2 linked regions of the Lepisosteus oculatus genome follow. The protein of the gene in region 2 binds, or shares a complex with, the protein of the main gene of each other region. Links are inferred from orthologs where the notes say so. Each region holds a gene or a part of one and is shown on either strand. Other genes may lie near its edges.

The links.
Region 1: the proteins of kpna4 (region 2) and ran-binding protein 3 are in contact, whole or in part, in a crystal structure (PDB 5XZX), measured with the Homo sapiens proteins. The link is inferred for Lepisosteus oculatus from reciprocal best matches to the Homo sapiens genes KPNA4 and RANBP3. Residues at the interface, in NP_002259.1 of Homo sapiens: Arg96, Leu99, Ser100, Asp102, Arg103, Pro105, Phe133, Trp137, Thr140, Asn141, Ala143, Ser144, Gly145, Thr146, Ser147, Thr150, Glu175, Gln176, Trp179, Gly182, Asn183, Gly186, Asp187, Asn219, Trp222, Val225, Asn226, Arg229, Asp261, Trp264; in NP_015561.1 of Homo sapiens: Asn114, Tyr115, Cys116, Pro117, Pro118, Val119, Lys120, Arg121, Glu122, Arg123, Thr124, Ser125, Leu127.

The regions. Positions count from the first base shown.
Region 1 is NC_090724.1:4,953,731-4,957,648, reverse strand, and holds the start of ran-binding protein 3, read left to right. Parts: upstream 1-829; 5' UTR 830-844; coding exon 845-869; intron 870-1,454; coding exon 1,455-1,510; intron 1,511-1,733; coding exon 1,734-1,770; intron 1,771-1,884; coding exon 1,885-1,971; intron 1,972-2,823; coding exon 2,824-2,895; intron 2,896-3,583; coding exon 3,584-3,649; intron 3,650-3,918. UniProt on the Homo sapiens protein: Acts as a cofactor for XPO1/CRM1-mediated nuclear export, perhaps as export complex scaffolding protein. Bound to XPO1/CRM1, stabilizes the XPO1/CRM1-cargo interaction. In the absence of Ran-bound GTP prevents binding of XPO1/CRM1 to the nuclear pore complex.
Region 2 is NC_090708.1:5,992,219-5,996,136, reverse strand, and holds the start of kpna4 (importin subunit alpha-3), read right to left. Parts: upstream 2,648-3,918; 5' UTR 2,508-2,647; coding exon 2,439-2,507; intron 259-2,438; coding exon 214-258; intron 1-213. UniProt on the Homo sapiens protein: Functions in nuclear protein import as an adapter protein for nuclear receptor KPNB1. Binds specifically and directly to substrates containing either a simple or bipartite NLS motif.

The sequences.
Region 1 (3,918 bases), on a different chromosome or scaffold from region 2:
TTAGGATTTATATAATTTAACATATCCTACAAAAATGGGTCACCTTTGAAACCAGACGTGGTGTAGGAAAATAAAGATTTAAATTGTATTCCAAGAAACTGAAGTGAAAAAAAAAGCTGTGCTGCTATTTATGAAATTCACATCAGTGTTTCTTTGGTTATTGTTGGCCAACAGTATGTTTTACCTCTGTGGGTGTCGGTTCTTTAGGCCAAGGGTTCCCAATCCTGGTCCTGGTGACCCACATGAAAAATCAGGAAAGTGTTCATCCGGGAACAGTGTTGCTAATTGATTTAACATCTGTGTATCAAAGCAAAAGCTGGCCTGGAGGGGACAGTGGGGAAGCATGCTGAAGTAAATCTGCTTTTAAAGGAGGGAAGGTGACCTGGTGGGTAAATAGTCCTCTTATTTGTCAGGTTATGATGAACTAAAGGTAGTCACTCCTTCAGAGTTACCCAGCAGAAAGTACAGGCCAAGTTTATGAAACCAGTTTTTTTGCTTCTCATTTACTACTCTTTTGTTTCCCATGGCCAGTGCTCAGCTCTAGATCACTAAGAGCCCCAGACTCATCTTAAAGAGGACTAGAAGCTGTACTTGAAAAACTTCATTTGCAGCCTTCTCGTGTTGCTGGTGTGGCATTGAAGGGAATTCTGGCCTGCGCAGAAAAGAAGCTAGACCTCTGCATATGGCTAGTGAAATCCAAGCAATAAGTCACGCGTTTTAGTATGTAGAAATGTCCAAGTTGTTGACTATAAATAGGTCCAAGTGGAAATTCTAGCAGCTGTGTTTCTGTTGGATGTCTCTCTCACATCTCTGCAGCCATCTGGTAGAGGGTCTTTCGTTCCTTATGTGTCCCCAAGCCACTTTGACAGGTAGTGTTTAAGTAAAGCAAGACTGTTATTTGCTGCATGTTATTTGGGGCACAAGAGGCCGAGTTAAGTTTCATGACCTTTTGCCAGTAACAGTCTGACGACTGATTTATTAGTGTTTTCGTTTTAAAGCATTATTTACTGGGATGGATTTCTTAACCATTGAAGCAAGCTGTTGGAGCTGTGTTTTCTGCCTGGTATAAACTGTGGATTTCAGAAGCACAAATAAGAGGCATTCATTTTACATGACAATTGGACAAGTTGATGGGCAGTTCTGATAGAGCCAGTGATGAGTTCATTTTCATTGGGGAGCTTCAGTTTCAAAGCTCTGAATGTCTGGATGTTGATAGCGTGATGGTGACATTTGAAAGGGACTCTTCAAGAATTAAGCTTAGAGGGTGCTGATGTTCGCAAAAGTCAAAATGCTAGTACTACTAATCAAAGAATATTAGTATTGTCTTTCAATTACGTAGACTGGATGCATCACAGAAGTGTTTTAATGTAGTTTTGCCAGTGCGCTGAAGTTCTTTGGAGCCTGCATCAGAGTCTGTCCATAAACCACAAGTTTTTTTTTTGTTTGTTTTATAGAGAAACCTGCCATAGCTCCACCTGTCTTTGTGTTCCAGAAAGATAAAGCACAGAAGGTAAGCCAGCCAGTTTCAGAGCTGATTTATTTCACTTCTGGGAGCTGGGGGGCGGTGTTGAGTGGATGAGAAACAAAGTAAAGGTTAAGGGATCTGAAATCCGTTTAATAACTGAACCATTTTGTAGTGCCATATTGATCATGGTAAGAGTTTGGAGTTGAATGCCATTTGACAGGAGGCGAGAACAATAAACATGTAATTTGTTGACTTATTTTTATTTCAGAGATCAGCTGATGGATCCAGTGCAGAAGATGGTGAAGGTGACTTAAAAACGGAAATTTTTGTTTTGGTGAAAAACTAGACATGCTGTATCACTTCATGAATTTATTGTGGTTTCCTGGACACTTAGAACAACTTGTACTTAAATGTTTCAGATTCAGACAAAGACGATGGAGCTTATTGTCCCCCTGTGAAGCGCGAGAGAACATCGTCTTTAACACAGTTTCCACCCTCACATTCTGGTAACTATCCCTGCTTCTTGTGAGCAAGGTAGATGTGTATGTAAACGTGATGTGAGTTCTGTTGAATTGGCTTGTATGAGACACTAAGAGCTTATTGGGGTTTTAGCATTTTGTGTATTCTGCTTGAGGTTCTATCCTTGTTAACCTTATGCCTTGAATGTGAAGGCAAACAGCTATTGTATAAATAGCAGATTTTCTAAGCACACATGGAATACATAAGCATACATAACATAAAGATGTTCAGTCTCCAAAATTATAGGAAAGGTGCATAATTGTGACCATGAAGAATCAAAAACCCAAATTATCATTTACATTTCTATATGTGGCTCATGTCTCATGTATATGTGGGCATCCCTGCCCTCCTAGGATGTGATCTAGAGATGGTTGCATCCAAACATGGCATTGACAGCTGCATAATTACTGTCTTCACTGAAGCACTTGACACTCATTCATCATCTCCAAAGGCACTGGTATATAGAACTATACAAATCTGTGGAATGGTGGTTTACACCCGGATGGGGCATTTTTTCCAAATGTTCAATTGCTTCCTAGAGAATGAGTATTTTAGTTATTTCAGACTCTGATTTGTTAAAATAAGGTATATAATTTGTAAATGCTTGCTAGGTACTGACCTGTGTGGACCCTGTAAGTAGTCTTAGAAATATTTCTTAAGCCAGAACTGTTGTTGTTTTGTTTGTGATTTGATACATTCCAAAGATCATTCGCATAATCATCGTTCACAAGGAAGTACTTTTTTCCATTGCCTTCATCCCATCATTTATTCCTGATATTTGTTTTTTTCTTGGCCTTGTTTGTTCTCTCGTGTAATATGTTGCTGATTTTTCTTTGTAGTATCCAAAAACAATGTGTTTATGCCCTCAAGTTTCTGTCAGTCCCCAACTGGAAATTCAGACTCTGAGCCTGGTGAGTTCACTGAACTGTTCTCTCTGTGGGTCTGATTTGTAAGATGGCATTGAACTCTGGAAAGGTTAAGCATAGGCTTTTAGCCAATATATTTGTTTTTTTTGTATTTTATGTTGAACCATTTCATTGTACAACCTGTTTTTTTTCTCCGTTTAGAGAATGGTGTCAGGTTTTAGAATCATTAGTCAAATTTTTCCAAAATATTTTTTTTTAACCTATAACATTTGGCAGTTTATTCATGCAGAACTAAGTTTAATCTTCATTGCTGTGCTGTGACAAGTCAGCCAGGTCAGTCAGGTCAAGTAACGAGTCTAAGCTCTATTTCTTTTTAGAGTTATAGCGTTAGTTATTTCTCTGGTGTGTTTCTTTACTTTTTTAGTCTTGGCTTTTTACCTGCTGTTTGGTCTTATTGTAATATTTGAATGATTTGTACTTCATTTCCCACTTAACTAAAATTAAAACCTTTCTTCTGGTCAGGCTGCTTTATCAGACTTGGGCCAGATTAGTTGCAAAACTTTTTGGCAAAACAAACTGGGTCTTCTACATTGTTTTGCAGTTACAATTTATATATGCAGAAAACAAGACTCTTGTAAATAAGGACTCAGCTCCCCAGGATAAAGATTAATTACTCTGGCTCATTTTTCCTGATTCCCTGATCATTAACTTGCAAGTGTTTATCTGTTTGCAGAGGAGAAGACTGTTGGATTTCGTCTGAAACCGCCCACCCTGATCCATGGACAGGCCCCTAGTGCAGGTGGGTATTCATTGCTGCTATGTCCACGAGTGGATTTAGCAGCTGCTAGCAGCCTTTTCCGCTGTGTGTGTGTTGTTTTTTGCCTGGGTTATTGTAAGTCCGTGGTTGCATGATGGATTTGCAGCAAATGCAGGAAAAAAGGAAATAATCTCATGCATATTCATGAGAAAAGTCTTAAAACTAGATTTTCCAGTCTTTAGACTAGATGTGAGAGCAAATTAATAAAATTCAAGCTAATGTTAGCGTATTTTCCTTGTATTACGACTTTA
Region 2 (3,918 bases):
TTTTTAGAATATAGCCTGAGCTCTTACTGAGTTCAACAGACAGTAATACCTTTCAACTTTTAAAGTTACTAAACATTACATTCACATTTTAATAAACAAATCTCCAATTCAAAAGTTACACGTCATTGCATATCCAAAACAATTAGATTACAAATGAACATTGTAAAAGTTAAGGGCTACTACGAAACTTCTGATGAATCAGAAAATCAATACCTTGCGAAGTTCCACAACCACCTCATTCCTCTGTCTTCTCATTGTCTGGATAAGGGGGAAAATACAAAAACATTTAATATTCTACTCATCTGAAAGATCTGACATTCTCAGAGGGACTACTAAGACAAATGTAGTCACTCCAACAGTTACATACAACTTTTTGGAAATGATGAAAGGAGCTTCTAGTATGCAATGAAGTATTAAAATGACCTCCCACCCTTGTACATTTTGAATACTTGTGATACCTCAGTGACACACCCAGAGAACAGTACAGGACAACATGGTTATCAAGTGTGACAACATTAAAAAACAGGTGGGTAGCTGCGTCAGCATGCGTAGGCTGCAAAGGAACAAGTAATAGGTTTATTCCATGCTGAAAAAAAGAAGAAAGAGAACACAACGTTTCGGCCGTGGAGCCTTCTTCAGGTTAAAAAACCTTCTTCATTAAAAAAAAACAGCCCACTGGAGAGAGTCCAGGATTTAACAATGGTTTACTGTGCAATGTGACAGCATTTCAGCGTAACACAGTTAGCCAATTTCATACCATATGCAGTGAGTAATGTAGCAGGAAGGGGCAGTTCACTCAGGGCTTAAGCTTAGAAATCCCTCACACGCCTCTGGAATTTAATCCACAAGGCACAGGACAGCACTGAGCACACAAAAGCACAGTAACATTCAAGACATTTCTAAAACCTTCAGTATGACTTCACAACTGGCCAGCACTGATACTGATTTTATTACTTTGAGTTCGGCTCCATGACTGTGGATCCCTATGATGTTAACAGTAACGCACTGGATTCAGGTTTATGTTTTACAGAAAAGGGGTGGGGCACTTTATTTCACTATCCCAAGACTAGAATTAATAGGAAAGAAGAAAAATGATGTGCTTGAAAGCATGAAATATCTTCAGAAATCCTAATGGTGATTAATGTAGGGTGGGACACTCAGACATTTTAAATCAAGTATAAAGACCTGCAACAGCATGTCAAATTTTAAATAAATGGTAGAACAACCTAAATGAATACAAATACAGATGCTTAGATGGCTCATGTTTTAGAGTATGGTCCTCAATCATTTTAATTGCTTTATAAAATAAAAAAACAAAAGGTGCAGCACAGCTATATTCATTTCTTTTTTATGAAAAGGGTGGCTGAGTGGCAATTAAGGAAAGTGAAATGATGAACTTCACAGAATCTTAAATGGTCCTATATATGTAGAAATACAGTCCGCTCAGACTATTGGACGTTTTGGCCAAAACTGACAAAGGTCTGAACATTATATTCATGCCTCCGTACAGATCTGTGTATGTTCCTTTGCATTATTAAGTACAGAAGACCAAAATTTAAAAGTCCAAATGTTGGAGTCTGATCCAGAAGTAAAGCCTGATGCGTCAACAAGGAAACTGCTTTACCAGATGAAAAAAAAGAAAGACTTCGTCTCTTTTCTCACGTTAGGACGTGTTGGGCCGCTTAGTATTATGTAACATCTACCAGATAGTTCACGTTCTCAAGAGATTTCCTTTAAGTTTTGGAAAAAGAAGCACATGACTTCCAATTTTCAATGCTATATAATATCGACTTTAGAAAAGGAAACAAAAATAAGAACGTTACCCAGAACGTAATATTTCTTAACTTGGGTGGTAACGAAGGACTGCAGACTAGAACGCCGTGGAATTATTTTTTTAAGAGATCTAGAAACAGACGTTTGGGAAGTTTTGTGGGTTAGATCAATCGTTGTTCGTGTTTCGCCACATCCAAACAACTCCAACCACGCGGAGAGAAGGAAGGGAAAAAAAAATCAACTCCACAAAAGACGCACCAAGTAACACTTTCGCTTTAGCAGAGAAGCTCCCAACAGCCCCGGAATAAGCTTCGGGGGTAGAGCAGCACACCACCATACCCAGCTTCTTCCAGTCATAAAAAAAAAACAAAGGCGTTTGCGGAGCCCAGTAAGCGAGCCCCGGCCTGGCCTGCCTCCCAGCCCCTGAATCCCTGCCCCGAAGTTTTGCGTGCTGGGCAGGGAGCGATCTGCCCAGCGCTGGGGCTGAATTAGGCCTCGGTCGAAGCCGCAGGGAGCTGGGGCCTGGCTTGGGCTGGGTGCAAACTTCGAGATCCTGGAAATTACTAAAGACGTCACAGCGGAACCTGAAACAAAATAACACACACAGACTCGCCAAAAAGAGAGAGAGAGAGGCACACCGAAAAAGTCAAGAAGAAAACAAATACCTCCAAATCCCGGCCCTTGTTTTTGAAATTCTTCAGCCGCTGATTATCCAGTTTCTCGTTGTCGGCCATGTTGGGGGAAAAAAAAATATGTATTTGTAATTACTATGATTTGGGCGACGTATCTCTTTCGTGTGTTTCTTTTCTCTCAGCCCCTCCAGTTACCGGACTCTTTTCTCTGGCTTCCTCGCAGGGGGTTGTGGGAATGCCGGTACAGGCCCAGCCTCGCTCTGGCCGCGGCGGAGGAGGGGCGGGCCTTTGTCGTCACGGATTGGTCGGCGAGCGAGGGAAATTTAATTTCAATACGCGTGCTCGGAGACGCGCTCGTCAGCGGTAATTACAATAAAGCGCAATAAATTCCAGCTTGCACTTTGGTTTTCATGGATATAAAAAAAAGGCATACGAGCTACATATAGCTACGTGTTTTATAGGGTACATAAAAATACGAATTAAAATTAGTATTCGAATCGGCCTTTTCCTCAAAGAAACTATGCTGCAATGCACCAGACTGTAACAGGAATAATGTAGTAAAATAGGCTGTTAGTGTTGATGTCATGATATGATACCTTGCATGGTACCTTGTAGCATTTTTAAATGTCATTAAATGCATAAATATTAAGTTTATAATGAAGTGGTATTATAGCTTATTAGCAGTTCTATGATTAGAAACATTTGATTATTATTGATCTTCCTATTGAATATCCTATTGAATATATTGTAACGCAACGGGGGCTCCGGCGGGCGCCCTTGCCGCATCTGGTCGGCCCCATCCCGACTGGAGGCTCGAACCCGGGACTTCCGTGTCTCTCTGCAGCGACCTAGCCCTGTGAGCTAAAGAGAGATCTCTCCACAGCCCAGTAGCTGTGGTCCTGCTATCACAGGGAAGGGCGGTGATCTTACACACAGTGCTTGTCGGCCGTAAGCGTTACAATAGAAATTCTGTTCAATTTGGTGTTTTGCTGGAACATATCCTGACAGCTCTGTTATTCCCCTTCTGAATTATTAAATTAATTAACCAACAATTAGCAGCATTTGCTTTTGTATCTGTAAATATTTTTATTTAATAAAGCATTCAGCTTTTTGCAATATATATATGAAGCATTTTCCTTCCTGTTAGAGACTTTGAAACGATAATTGTAGTTCACACTTTTGTGTAAAATACTTTTCATGTCCACATCCATTAGTCTATTGCACAGATTCCAAAATACATGTGCGACTGTTTTGATCTGAATGTAGAAGTTGTTATTATATATGCAGTTTCTTATAATTAAAAAAAAAACAGAATTCTTGTAACAATTTAGAGATGAAAGTGTCCTCTTGTGGCATAAATAGGTCACTGAGGAGGTGCGTCTTAGGTAAAGAGTTGATGTATTTTTATGAATGTGAGGGTACTGTTAAAGTAAAACCTGAGAATTAGGCAAAATATGACCCGGACATCAGTAATATTCATGTCTACTGGAATCAATCTTATTTCAATTTGTTC